Linked DNA regions of Schizosaccharomyces pombe. Changing the gene in region 2 together with the main gene of any one other region gives a genetic interaction. Each region holds a gene or a part of one and is shown on either strand. Other genes may lie near its edges.

Region 1 (6,424 bases), on a different chromosome or scaffold from region 2:
ACTGTAAAATATAAACAAACATCAATTTTAATTTCTTTTAAATAAGATAAATCTCAGCTTCCACTTTTTTTACTGTACACGTTAAAAAAAAAATCAACCATACGGATCAATCTCAGCTATTTTACTATGCCGGCGTTTGAGCAACAATGGTAGTTATTTTGCTTCTTTTTAAAATATTTTACCTCCTTTGTTGTTGACTGTATCCATTTTGTGCATTGATTGTTTGATAAAATGGTATGTTTGGCATTACAGGAGCACCAGGTATGGTAGCAGCAGCAGGAGAAGGAGAAGCCATCACCATTCCTGGTGGTGGAGGGGGGACAAGTGGTGCACCTCCAGGGCCCATTGGAACATTCATCATTGGCATAGCAGGCATTCCAGGGAAATGCTGTGCAGCAGTGAAAGGAAGAACATTAGGTATTGACAAGGGAGGGACGGCAGTAGTTGCTCCCACTAGAGGAACATTCGGTACAGGAGGTATCGATGTAGCAGCAATTGTTGCTGGAGTATTAGCAGCAGATGTTGGAGCAGGAGTGGCGGGTGAAAATCCTGGAGGCAGAGTACTCTGAGGAGTAACGGCAACTTTATTCTTTTTAGCGGCTGCTGCTAGCTTTCTTTCCGCAATATCTCCGTGACGTTCACCCTTTCCTTCGCGTTTAAAGGCGTATGACACGGTAATTGGTTTATTCATTAAAAACTGATTATTCATGGCCTCAATGGCTGCATCAGCGGTTTCAAAAGAATCGTAGCTAACAAAACCATAACCTTTCGACCTTCCATTCTCGTCTCTTGCTACCTGAGGTGCCTTGACAAGTTGTCCCAAAGCAGAAAATGTATCGTACAATACGCGTTCATCAACAAGAGGATCCAAGTTGCCAACAAATAAATTTGCACCAATTAAGGTATTGACTCCTCTGTCCTGGCTAGCTCTATTGACCCTTATAGGCTTTCCAAACAACTTTACTTGATTCAGAATTTGACATGCATACTCAACATCTTGTTCGTGTAAGAATTCGCAGAAACCAAAGCCATTATGACTATTCCTTACTCTATCTCTTGGAATATGAATATTTACTGTATGAATTAGTATCGAAAGCCACAAATACAACCAACACTCGAATAATTACATACCAACTGGACCTGCCTGCAGGCATAACTCAAACAAAATAGAATCCGTTACTTTTTCATCAAGATTGCCAAGATATATAGTTGCATCCTGATTCCTGTCTTCTCGAATACTCATTAATAAATAAGTAAAAATAAGTTAAAGTGTCTATTATAGAAATTTATTAGAATAAATAGATAGACACGTTTGAAGACGCTGGTAGAAGATTCAAGAAATTGGTGCATAGTCTCGTTATTGACTTAATGACGAGCACCAAATAGCACAATAGAAAACTAAATTACAGTATTCATCGTTAAAATTTCAGTGTCCAGCGTTTTCCAAACACATTTATGGAGATTTTTAATACTAAATCTTCGTTTTTTTTTTATTATTTTATAATTTTACTCATGAGATTGAATTATATTCAAGTTGAAGGTACAGTTGTGAATGGTAGACTGACGAAATATTTTTTATAGCAACCTATCTCTTTATACAGCCCTAATTTCCTTACATCCATCGTACACTAGTACATTTAATAGGTTCATTTATTAACTTTTTGTAAAAACGATGTTTGGCCATGTATATTTATTTTTGCTGCTGTAGTTTTGAACACAACTGAGGGCTTATTTATGTTACCCTAGATGGGCTTTTTACTCCCATGTGGTCTTTGTAACCTTCTTATGATCTTCACCCTTCAGGTGATACCACGACTTCAGTTGAATTTTATAGCTTTTCGAGTGTGTTTTTAATCAAAATATTTCTGTGATGTTGGTGTTTTGAAAAAGCGTACTTGTGTAGTCCTAGATGCCCCTTTTTTCTTTCACTTAAGTCTATTATTGTTTATGTTTAATTTTCTACTTGCAAACTTTTCGAAAGGACTGTTCGTAGCCTTTACGTTTATTGCTTATTTATTTTTTCTGATTTAAGCTCGTGAGCTTTTTCTAACAGACGTACGATCAGACAATTGGCACGTCTGCTTTTCTTTTCTTTTCTTTTTTAAGACCTGTCTACTCAACGCAGGATTTCTTCGATTATCTAGGTTTTTAAACGGTTTAAAAGGACACAGAATATTTTATTACTTCATTTTAGTATTTTATTTTCGACATGATTGCTGCTGTCGAAAAAGATGCTGTGCCTCGAAAAAGGCGAGTAATCAGTCAAGTATCTCAGGCATGCATTCGGTGTAGGCAGAAAAAAATAAAGTGTTCTGGTGAAAAGCCATCATGTCAAGCTTGCAGTAACAACAAAGTTGAATGCATTTGGCCTGATCGACCGAATATGCGAGGCAAAAAGCCATCTTCCGCTGCCAGAACCTTGAGTCCTCTTACTGGTATAGTGCAACCGTATCTGGGCTCTCATCCTTTTTCTCCTACGATCCTCTCTCCATCATCTCCTAACATGGATTTTACTTACTCTATTAATAGCTTTGGTGACTATCAGAAGCAGTTAAGGCTACCAACCAGTAGAAAGTTATTACAGCTTTGGGACATATTTCTTAAAACTTCATATACCGAACTTTTTGGGATATTTAATAAGGCCCAAATTACGTCTCAAATTGCAAGTGATACTGCTCCGCCAGTCCTCGTACTTTGTATATGTGCTCACGCTGCTCGTTTCAGTCAAGAGGAAGTCAATAGATTTAAATCTTCAACTGCAGCATCTGATTACTACGCAAACCAAGCCTTTTCACTGCTTCCTTGTCGTTTCCAGGATATTTCACTGACTAATATCACTTGCCTGCTCTTGCTTTGCTTAATTGAGTTGGGCTCTTGTAGAGGCGCTAAAGCCTGGCTTTTACTGGGTATGGCTCTCCGTATGGTCGATTCTTTAGATCTTGGTAACGAAATAAATGATAATCCTCTTACGATGGGATCCAACACTGTTTCATGGACTGAAGCCGAGCAGAAAAGAAGGGTTTATTGGGCTTGTTTTTTTGTCGAACGTTTGCTAAGTACAGGTTACATGGCACCTTCAAAATTGCGCTCACTTTCTTTATCTCTTCAAAAGACTAGTATACAATTACCTTGTCCGGAACCTAATTTTTTATTTAATCAGCCAATTCTTACTGAGTTATTTGATGGATCTTTACCGGAAAACACTCAGTCAGACACCACTTCAATGGCCCCATACCAAAGAAGTTTACAACTGGAGTTTATGACGGGTTCCCTAATCCGCTTGTCAAATTTGTGGAGTGAGATCTCAAGATGGGCTCTATGTGGTGGATACACGAAAGATATCACACCCCCTTGGCTAAATCAGTCTCAATTCCATCGTAGCTTTGAGCTTTTAAAAGCCTGGCATGAAAATTTACCTCCAAGAGCAGTTTGGTCATACACTAACTATTCGGCGTATAGTTCTCCCGGAGAATCGGCTGGTGCCTGTTACACTTTTATGCATTTGCTATATCACACTACCTTGACCTATCTTCTGAGAAACGTCTTAGATTTATTTCCTGAGAAGTCGAGGCAGAAATCCAAACTTTTTTCCTCTGTTTCACAACGCTTCGGACAACAGCCTCCTACTGTATGGATGGATATGATTTTAGATCAAGTCATTACTTCTGCTGATTTCATTACAAAACTTTCAAAGGACCCCTTAAACTACATAATGAGCCCATTTGTGGGGTTTAGTATATTGACTGCTGCTACTATCCATATGCTTCTTAAGTTTTGTGTTGTCAACATCGACCAAAATTACATTTCTTCCTCTCGACTTGTACACGTTGATCATCAGATTTTACAGGATCGATCCAAATATTGGAAAATTAATCAAGCAATGTTGGTAACTCTTCAGAGATTGTATAATTTCTACCGCTTTCAGTATTTAGAGGAACAGTCACTTTACAATTTCAAAATTCCAGGATTTCCTTTATGTATTCTAGAATATGGTATAGTGGAAGATCAGTCGATGAAGTCTAATCCTGATCTGAATTCATTTTCAAAAGAGTTGTTTTCAAGAGGAACAAACGAGCTTTTGAATAATGGCGATGATACTCAAAGTGGGAATTCGACACCTGCTATGGGTGTTTCTGAAATACGAACTGATACTATTCTGGATGAGGAAGTCCCCGTAGACCCACTGATCACTTCGATTTTAGATGACGGTCGCTGGTGGGAGGAAATGTTTGGATCAGAAAGGAAGGCGGGTTTTAAGGAAACGGTGTTCGAAGACATGAATGGAAGAAGTATTCGATTGTAAATTATACGATGTACAATAGTTTCTTTAGTTTTTGTTTCTTTATTCTTTTGTATACTAGCACTCTAATTTAAAAAGCTTATAATGCTTTACTTTTTCTACACCCCTGGAATTCCTTTTATTCACGAACTCGAAATTAATGATATTGATGGAACTGGTTACTTGAGTCAGTTTCTCATAACACTTATTGATTGCTTTTTATGCTTATTAATATAAGTTACTCATATTCTTATTAATGGGTAGTTTTATATTACTCATAGCGTAAATAAATATTAAATGGTATAACGGGAATTAAACTAAATTTGCTGATCATTAACTAATGCATAAATTTATTCCTCCTTATATAAGACATCACGGTTTAAGTCCTTTGGTTTCACAGATACAATACCAGATAGATGTAGCGTTAATTCCAAATCTCCCAAGAGACAACGAATGACATGACTAACACCGGATGAACCTTCAAGGGCTAACCCGTAAACATAGGGACGACCGATTAAAACCATCTTAGCTCCTAATGCAAGGGCCTTGGCAATGTCAGCACCTGAACGAACACCAGAGTCAAATAGAACATCTAATTTATCACCAACAGCATCTACGATCTTTGGTAGCATCGTCAAGGAAGCAACACCTCCATCTTGTTGTCTACCGCCATGATTTGATACAACGATGCCCTGCATGCCATATTCAACTGCCTTCTTAGCATCAGGAACATTCATGATACCTTTGAGAACAATTGGGCCATCCCAATGTTTACGAAGGAACTTCAAGTCTTCCCAATCATGGCTGATTCCAGGAAAGACAATTCCAGCAAACTCTTTAGCTGCCTCTAACATATTTTCTTCGACTTCCACACCATGCTTCTCCTTAAACTGCTTACGGAAAACGGGGTCGGAAAATCCGTGTTCAACACCGATGCTGTCAGGATTTAAGAATGGATCGTAACCATTGTCCATGTCTGAGGGACGCCATCCAAGAATAAATGTGTCAAGAGTAACTATCAAAACTCTGCAGCCCGTTTTCTTGGCGCGGTTGAGCAAACTAATGGTAATGTCTTGATGGTCATTGCTTGGCCAATAAAGTTGATACCATCTCTCTCCAGGACCACTAGCCTTTTCTATATCTTCAAAGCTGGTTGCAGACGCAGTACTGATAATATAGGGTATATGCTCTCTAGTTGCAGCGGCACACGATCCACTTTCACCCTCTGGATTGAAAATTTTTTGTACTCCTACAGGAGCCAAGGCAATAGGAAAAGGATATTTTTGGCCAAAGACAGTGGTAGACAAGTCGGGGAAACCAGACTTGATGAGACGGTTAGGAATGATGGACCATTTCTTAAAGGATTCCATATTTTTATCATATGTCTCTCTTTTTCCTGCACATCCGTAAACGTAGCCGGCGGCATCCTTGGTCATTCGCTCAACAGCCAGTTGCTCCCAGTGTCTGCCATCTACGGTGATTTGGGGTCTTTGAAACTTGAGACCTTTAGCGTAAATTTCGGACTCATATGAAATGGGCTCTTTTGCGTCAAACCAATTGTAGTTGCGGAACATAGTTAAATCGTATTGAGAATTTATTGATTACTTAGATAATGTCTTCGAGAAAGGGAAGAATCCAAAAATGTCGTAAAAAAGTAATAGAAATTAAAATGATGAGTTTCTTAACTTTTAAGGTTCAAAAGTCTTCTGATATTGCAATGAATGAGTGAAAATATCGGACCGACAATTTCAACTTGGGACGAGGAGTGTATAAAGGCGAAGTTGTATTTTTTTAATATTTCTTAACAGATAAAGTGGTATTTAAAAGTAATAGTTTATATTGTTTTTTATTACAGCAATTCAGTGCTACATTTATAACTTTTGGTTTTCGAAATTATGTAAATATGACATCTCAAGTTTCATATTAAAACATTTGTAAACGAATTCGCTTTCCGTACCCATTGGGAAAAGCGAAATCCCGTTTTTGTCCAAATTTGAAACAACCAGAGATGATTTCATGAAACCTTTCATTAATTATTTTCCTAATGAATTTAGATGTATTGCGCTCAGCTACAAAGTCCATGTTCATTTAGCATCCTTTCTTATACTACGATGGCAAAACGGCTAGCATGAAATCGGTTCATTT
Region 2 (4,239 bases):
AAGTAATCGGTTAAAAGCTTTTACCTTTTTCAAAGCTTTGTAAGCTTTTAATACGTTCAGCATCAGGAGGATCAATGTCTAAAAGCATCATTTGATTTGCGAATCGGCCCGTAGAGGACTCCTGCGCTGTGGTTAGAGACATTTAATGGCAGAAGTAAACGTCGGTGAATTTAAATGCAGCATTAAACTTACAGTACCATAGAGCAATACACCCATTATGTCGCTGGGATTTGTGATTACTCTTTGAGCCGCCAGCTGGTACGCACAAATAAGTGCCATCTGCAAAGAGCTGGGAGTAAATTCATCGACAGGATCAAGCATACTGGGAGAAACTTCAATCACAAATAAAATGGCATATTTTCCAATTGCAAAATTCTTTAAACAATCGTCAGCATAATAATTTCAAAACACCTGCGTCTACCAGTCCATATTGGTCATACTTCTGTCTCATCTATTTGTTCATCGTTTTCCATGTAAAAAACAGATTATCAAAAACAATTTCCTTGGCTTTTTAAATACGACAAAAAGAAAAAAGAAGCACGCGTAATTATAAAAACGCTGATATTTTATGTAAACCGTCCGATGATAACGGCTAAAGCACACGAATGAAATAACTATTTCATTAGTATCTTAAATGTCAAATAATTTAATATATTGATATACCAATATGAGTTATTAAGCACCAATTCCAATATTTGAGAAAAATAATAAAATGCACAATGGTGTCAACATTCTAGTGGGTGTTTTACACGCACTGTGATTGTTGCGAATACGTTAAATTTAAAGAGCTCAAGTAAAGCCGTCGTAAGTTGCAACTAATATTAGTTCGTTATAGTTCATTTGTGTCGGCTACGCAGTTTGGTATCTGATTTAAAGATACGTAGAACTGCGGTGAGTTTTCCTTGTGATCTATTATATTACAATACACAGGTTGTATAAGTAGCAACTGAGTATAGGTATTGTATTAACTGGGTTATAATGTTACCTATCACTAATATAGCTCATAACTGAACTGAGGAACGAGGTTCAGCAGTAGCTCTATTTATAGTATTCAGATAATATACATATTAATAGATTTTAATTAAGATCAATATCAATATCGTATCATACATGGTACGATATATAATTAGAACATGTGACATATAGTGAAACGCAACGTAATATATCATAGCTTAGTGTAGTATTGCTGACAATTTGCGGTTTTGTTCGTAACGTGTGGAAGAAAAAAATAAAAAATGAGGTTTATGAACGATGAAAAGGACTAGATTTTTGATATAAAATTGATAATAGGTATACTTTTCTTAGTTATTGGAAGGATTAGTCACGGGTTTCAATTTGGCCTTTACTTCGACAACTGGTAACAAAAGATAAAACACAGAGACAGAGAATAAGCAACAATTAATAGTCAGTCTTAAGTCATTCCTTTTTCAGGCTGATTATTTTTTTTTGGTTTGAATGCTTCATCAATCTGTTTTTGCTCGAAATGCGATACAATATTTAGCTTTTTAATTCTTAAAACTTTTAACTTAAGGTAAGCGAAGTATATTGTTTTATAATTGTTTAGTGAACCATCGTGTAATTATACTCTTATCTTATTGAATGAATAACGATTCCTTGCATTTCATTATTAAGAAAATATACTCTACTATGTTTAAATGAATTTTTACCTGTGCAGCGTAAATTGCGTTTTCATCAAAAACAAATAATATTAACTACAGCATGGGACGTGGTGGTAAACGCACTTGGTACAATGGTGATCGTCGAGAAGCGAAAAGGAACCGACCTAATTCTATATACAATGGAGAAGGTCGGCCAGAGAATTTGGTAGTTGGAGAAAAAAAGCCGAAAAGAAAGGTCGCCTGTCTTGTAGGTTATTGTGGTAGCGGATATCATGGTATGCAATTGAATCCTCCTAGTAAAACAATCGAAGGAGATCTTTTTGATGCTTTTGTGAAGGCTGGTGCCGTTTCTTCTTATAACGCTGATGACCCAAAGAAAGTTGCTTTAGCAAGAGCCGCAAGAACTGATAAAGGAGTTCATGCCGCTGGAAATGTTATCAGTCTCAAACTTATAATGGAAGATGAGAAGTTAATTGAAAAAGTGAACGAACACCTCCCTCCTTCCATTCGCTTATGGGATGTGATCCGTACTATTAATTCTTTTAACCCAAGGACTTATTGCGAATCTCGTATATATGAATATATGGTTCCAACGTATGCTTTTGTTCCACCGAAACCTTCGTCCATACTTGGAAATTGCATTATGAAGAATTCTCCCATGCCTGCTGAGCCAATTAACAAGGAAAATATAAATCAACTCAGTCGTTCATTATTTTATGAAGAAGGAAAGGAATTTTGGGATGATTATGATATTGCAGCCAAAGAGATTTTGAGCCTTTATGAACAGGATCCTGAAGGCTTCGTAAATCCATATTCTAAAAGGGGAGCTGCTGCTCTTGCTAATTCGGAAAATAATAAGGGCTCTGAAGCAGGAGTTTCCGCTAAAACTAATCCAGATATGGATTCCGATTCCTCTGCTATTGTAAACGAGTTTTTAAAGCCTGACTCTGTTGAAGACGAATCTGCTGGTTCCAAGATTGATCCCAGTTATCGTCTCGAACGTGCACTTAAGCACATTGAAGTACTTAAATTAAAAAATTACCGTATTTCCGCAGATAGGCTGTCCGTTATTCGAGAAACTTTAAACCAATATGTTGGAGTTCATAACTTTCACAATTTTACTGTGGGGCAAGCATTTCATCAGAAGAATAGTAATCGCGTGATCCGTTCTTTTACTGTAAGTAAGAATTATCTTCTTTGTATTTATAGTATTCTTGACAAGTCTTGTTTCTAACATTCTAGGCATCTGATCCATTCATGATTGGCGATACAGAATGGATTTCATGTAAAGTTCATGGTCAATCTTTTATGTTGCACCAAATTAGAAAGATGATTGCGCTTGCTATTTTAGTTGTACGAACGGGTTGTCCTGTTGAGCGCATACAAGATGCCTTTAAAAAAACAAAAATTAACATACCCAAGGGACCTGGTTTTGGACTTTTATTAGAGTCACCGTTTTTTAAAGGTTATAATGAACATAAAGCTCCAGAGAATAATCGTGATCCTATCGACTTTACAAAGTACGAGCAAAAAATTACTGCTTTTAAGCATGCTCATATTTATGATAAAATTTTTCTCGAAGAAGCTCGTAAACAAGTGTAAGTATATTTTTTTCTTAAATTAACTAACCGGTTTAGATTTCATTGTTTTTTGTCTTTTATTGACAGTTATAATGAAGAAGATTTCAGTTATTTATCAGATATAGGCATTACTGAAAAGACGCAAGAGGTTTCCTCAAAATTGCCTGATGTTCTTTCTAGCGATGAAGAAGAAGATTCGGCTGAAAACAAGGATGATTTAGAGGGCTAAAGGATTGATTGTGAGACTGAGGATTTGCAACAAACTGATACCATAAACTTTGCTGTTTCTTTTAAAAAATTAGACTACAAACGTGTACATATATTTTTGGAGAATACTTGTTTCTTTCTTTTTTTTAGAATTGATTATTGGTTTTGGGTTCTATTGGTATTTTTATAGTTTATTAACTTCTACTTGATTATTCCAAATGTTAAGACCGTATGGTGCAATATACAAAATAAAAAATGAAAAAATTAATGAAATAGAAACTAGATGAACGGAGGAGAAAATTAAAAAGTCGAAAATGCGTGGTCAAGTAGACCAAAATGTAAACTATAATCTCATAAAGAATTTAAATCATCAACCGAAGCAAAATCAAAAGAATTTCTTTATAGTGGTTGGCGGGCACTAAAAGGAATCACTCGTCCCAATATAGTACCAGTAACTTGCATACCCTGCTCACCATGTCGAAATGCAGCAGCTATTAACTCTCTAGTACGAAAATACGAATGGCGACGTTTTACGGGTAAAAAAACTTTTTGCTCCAAAGGCTGATTGCCAGATTTCTGGAGAACATTCATAATGAAACTGACTTCTTCATCAGAATCAACAGGCGCTTGATGCTGATTATCTTCGGATTCTTTTGCAGTTTCGAGGATTTGTCGTTGTATTTTTACTTGGTTTTTCTTTTGACAAGCTGCAAGCAAAACATCGTATGGCTGAGATCTTCCCGGAACGGCTCGTTTGCTTGACATTGAATGCGTTTTACATGTGAGAGATCTGGCGCACATTTGCCCATTAGGAAGCAAAACACCGCATTGCT

The links.
Region 1: mutations in pus1 (region 2) and mca1 together harm fitness more than expected from each alone (negative genetic interaction), as found in Schizosaccharomyces pombe (one large-scale study listed by BioGRID).

Annotation. Positions count from the first base shown.
Region 1 is NC_003424.3:2,984,215-2,990,638, reverse strand, and holds mca1 (transcription factor), read left to right. Parts: upstream 1-1,785; 5' UTR 1,786-2,209; coding exon 2,210-4,303; 3' UTR 4,304-4,629; coding exon of another isoform or gene 4,630-5,853; 3' UTR 5,854-5,906; downstream 5,907-6,424. Other genes in the region: U2 snRNP-associated RNA-binding protein Sap49, read right to left, coding at 179-1,074, 1,132-1,243; SPOM_SPAPB1A11.03 (L-lactate dehydrogenase (cytochrome)), read right to left, coding at 4,630-5,853.
Region 2 is NC_003421.2:2,118,946-2,123,184, forward strand, and holds pus1 (tRNA/U2 snRNA pseudouridine synthase Lsp1), read left to right. Parts: upstream 1-1,669; 5' UTR 1,670-1,719; coding exon 1,720-2,796; intron 2,797-2,861; coding exon 2,862-3,217; intron 3,218-3,256; coding exon 3,257-3,428; 3' UTR 3,429-3,685; downstream 3,686-4,239. Other genes in the region: Ku domain protein Pku70 , read right to left, coding at 25-121, 193-375, 441-473; SAGA complex deubiquitinating submodule subunit Sgf73, read right to left, coding at 3,806-4,239. UniProt on the Schizosaccharomyces pombe protein: Formation of pseudouridine at positions 27 and 28 in the anticodon stem and loop of transfer RNAs; at positions 34 and 36 of intron-containing precursor tRNA(Ile) and at position 35 in the intron-containing tRNA(Tyr).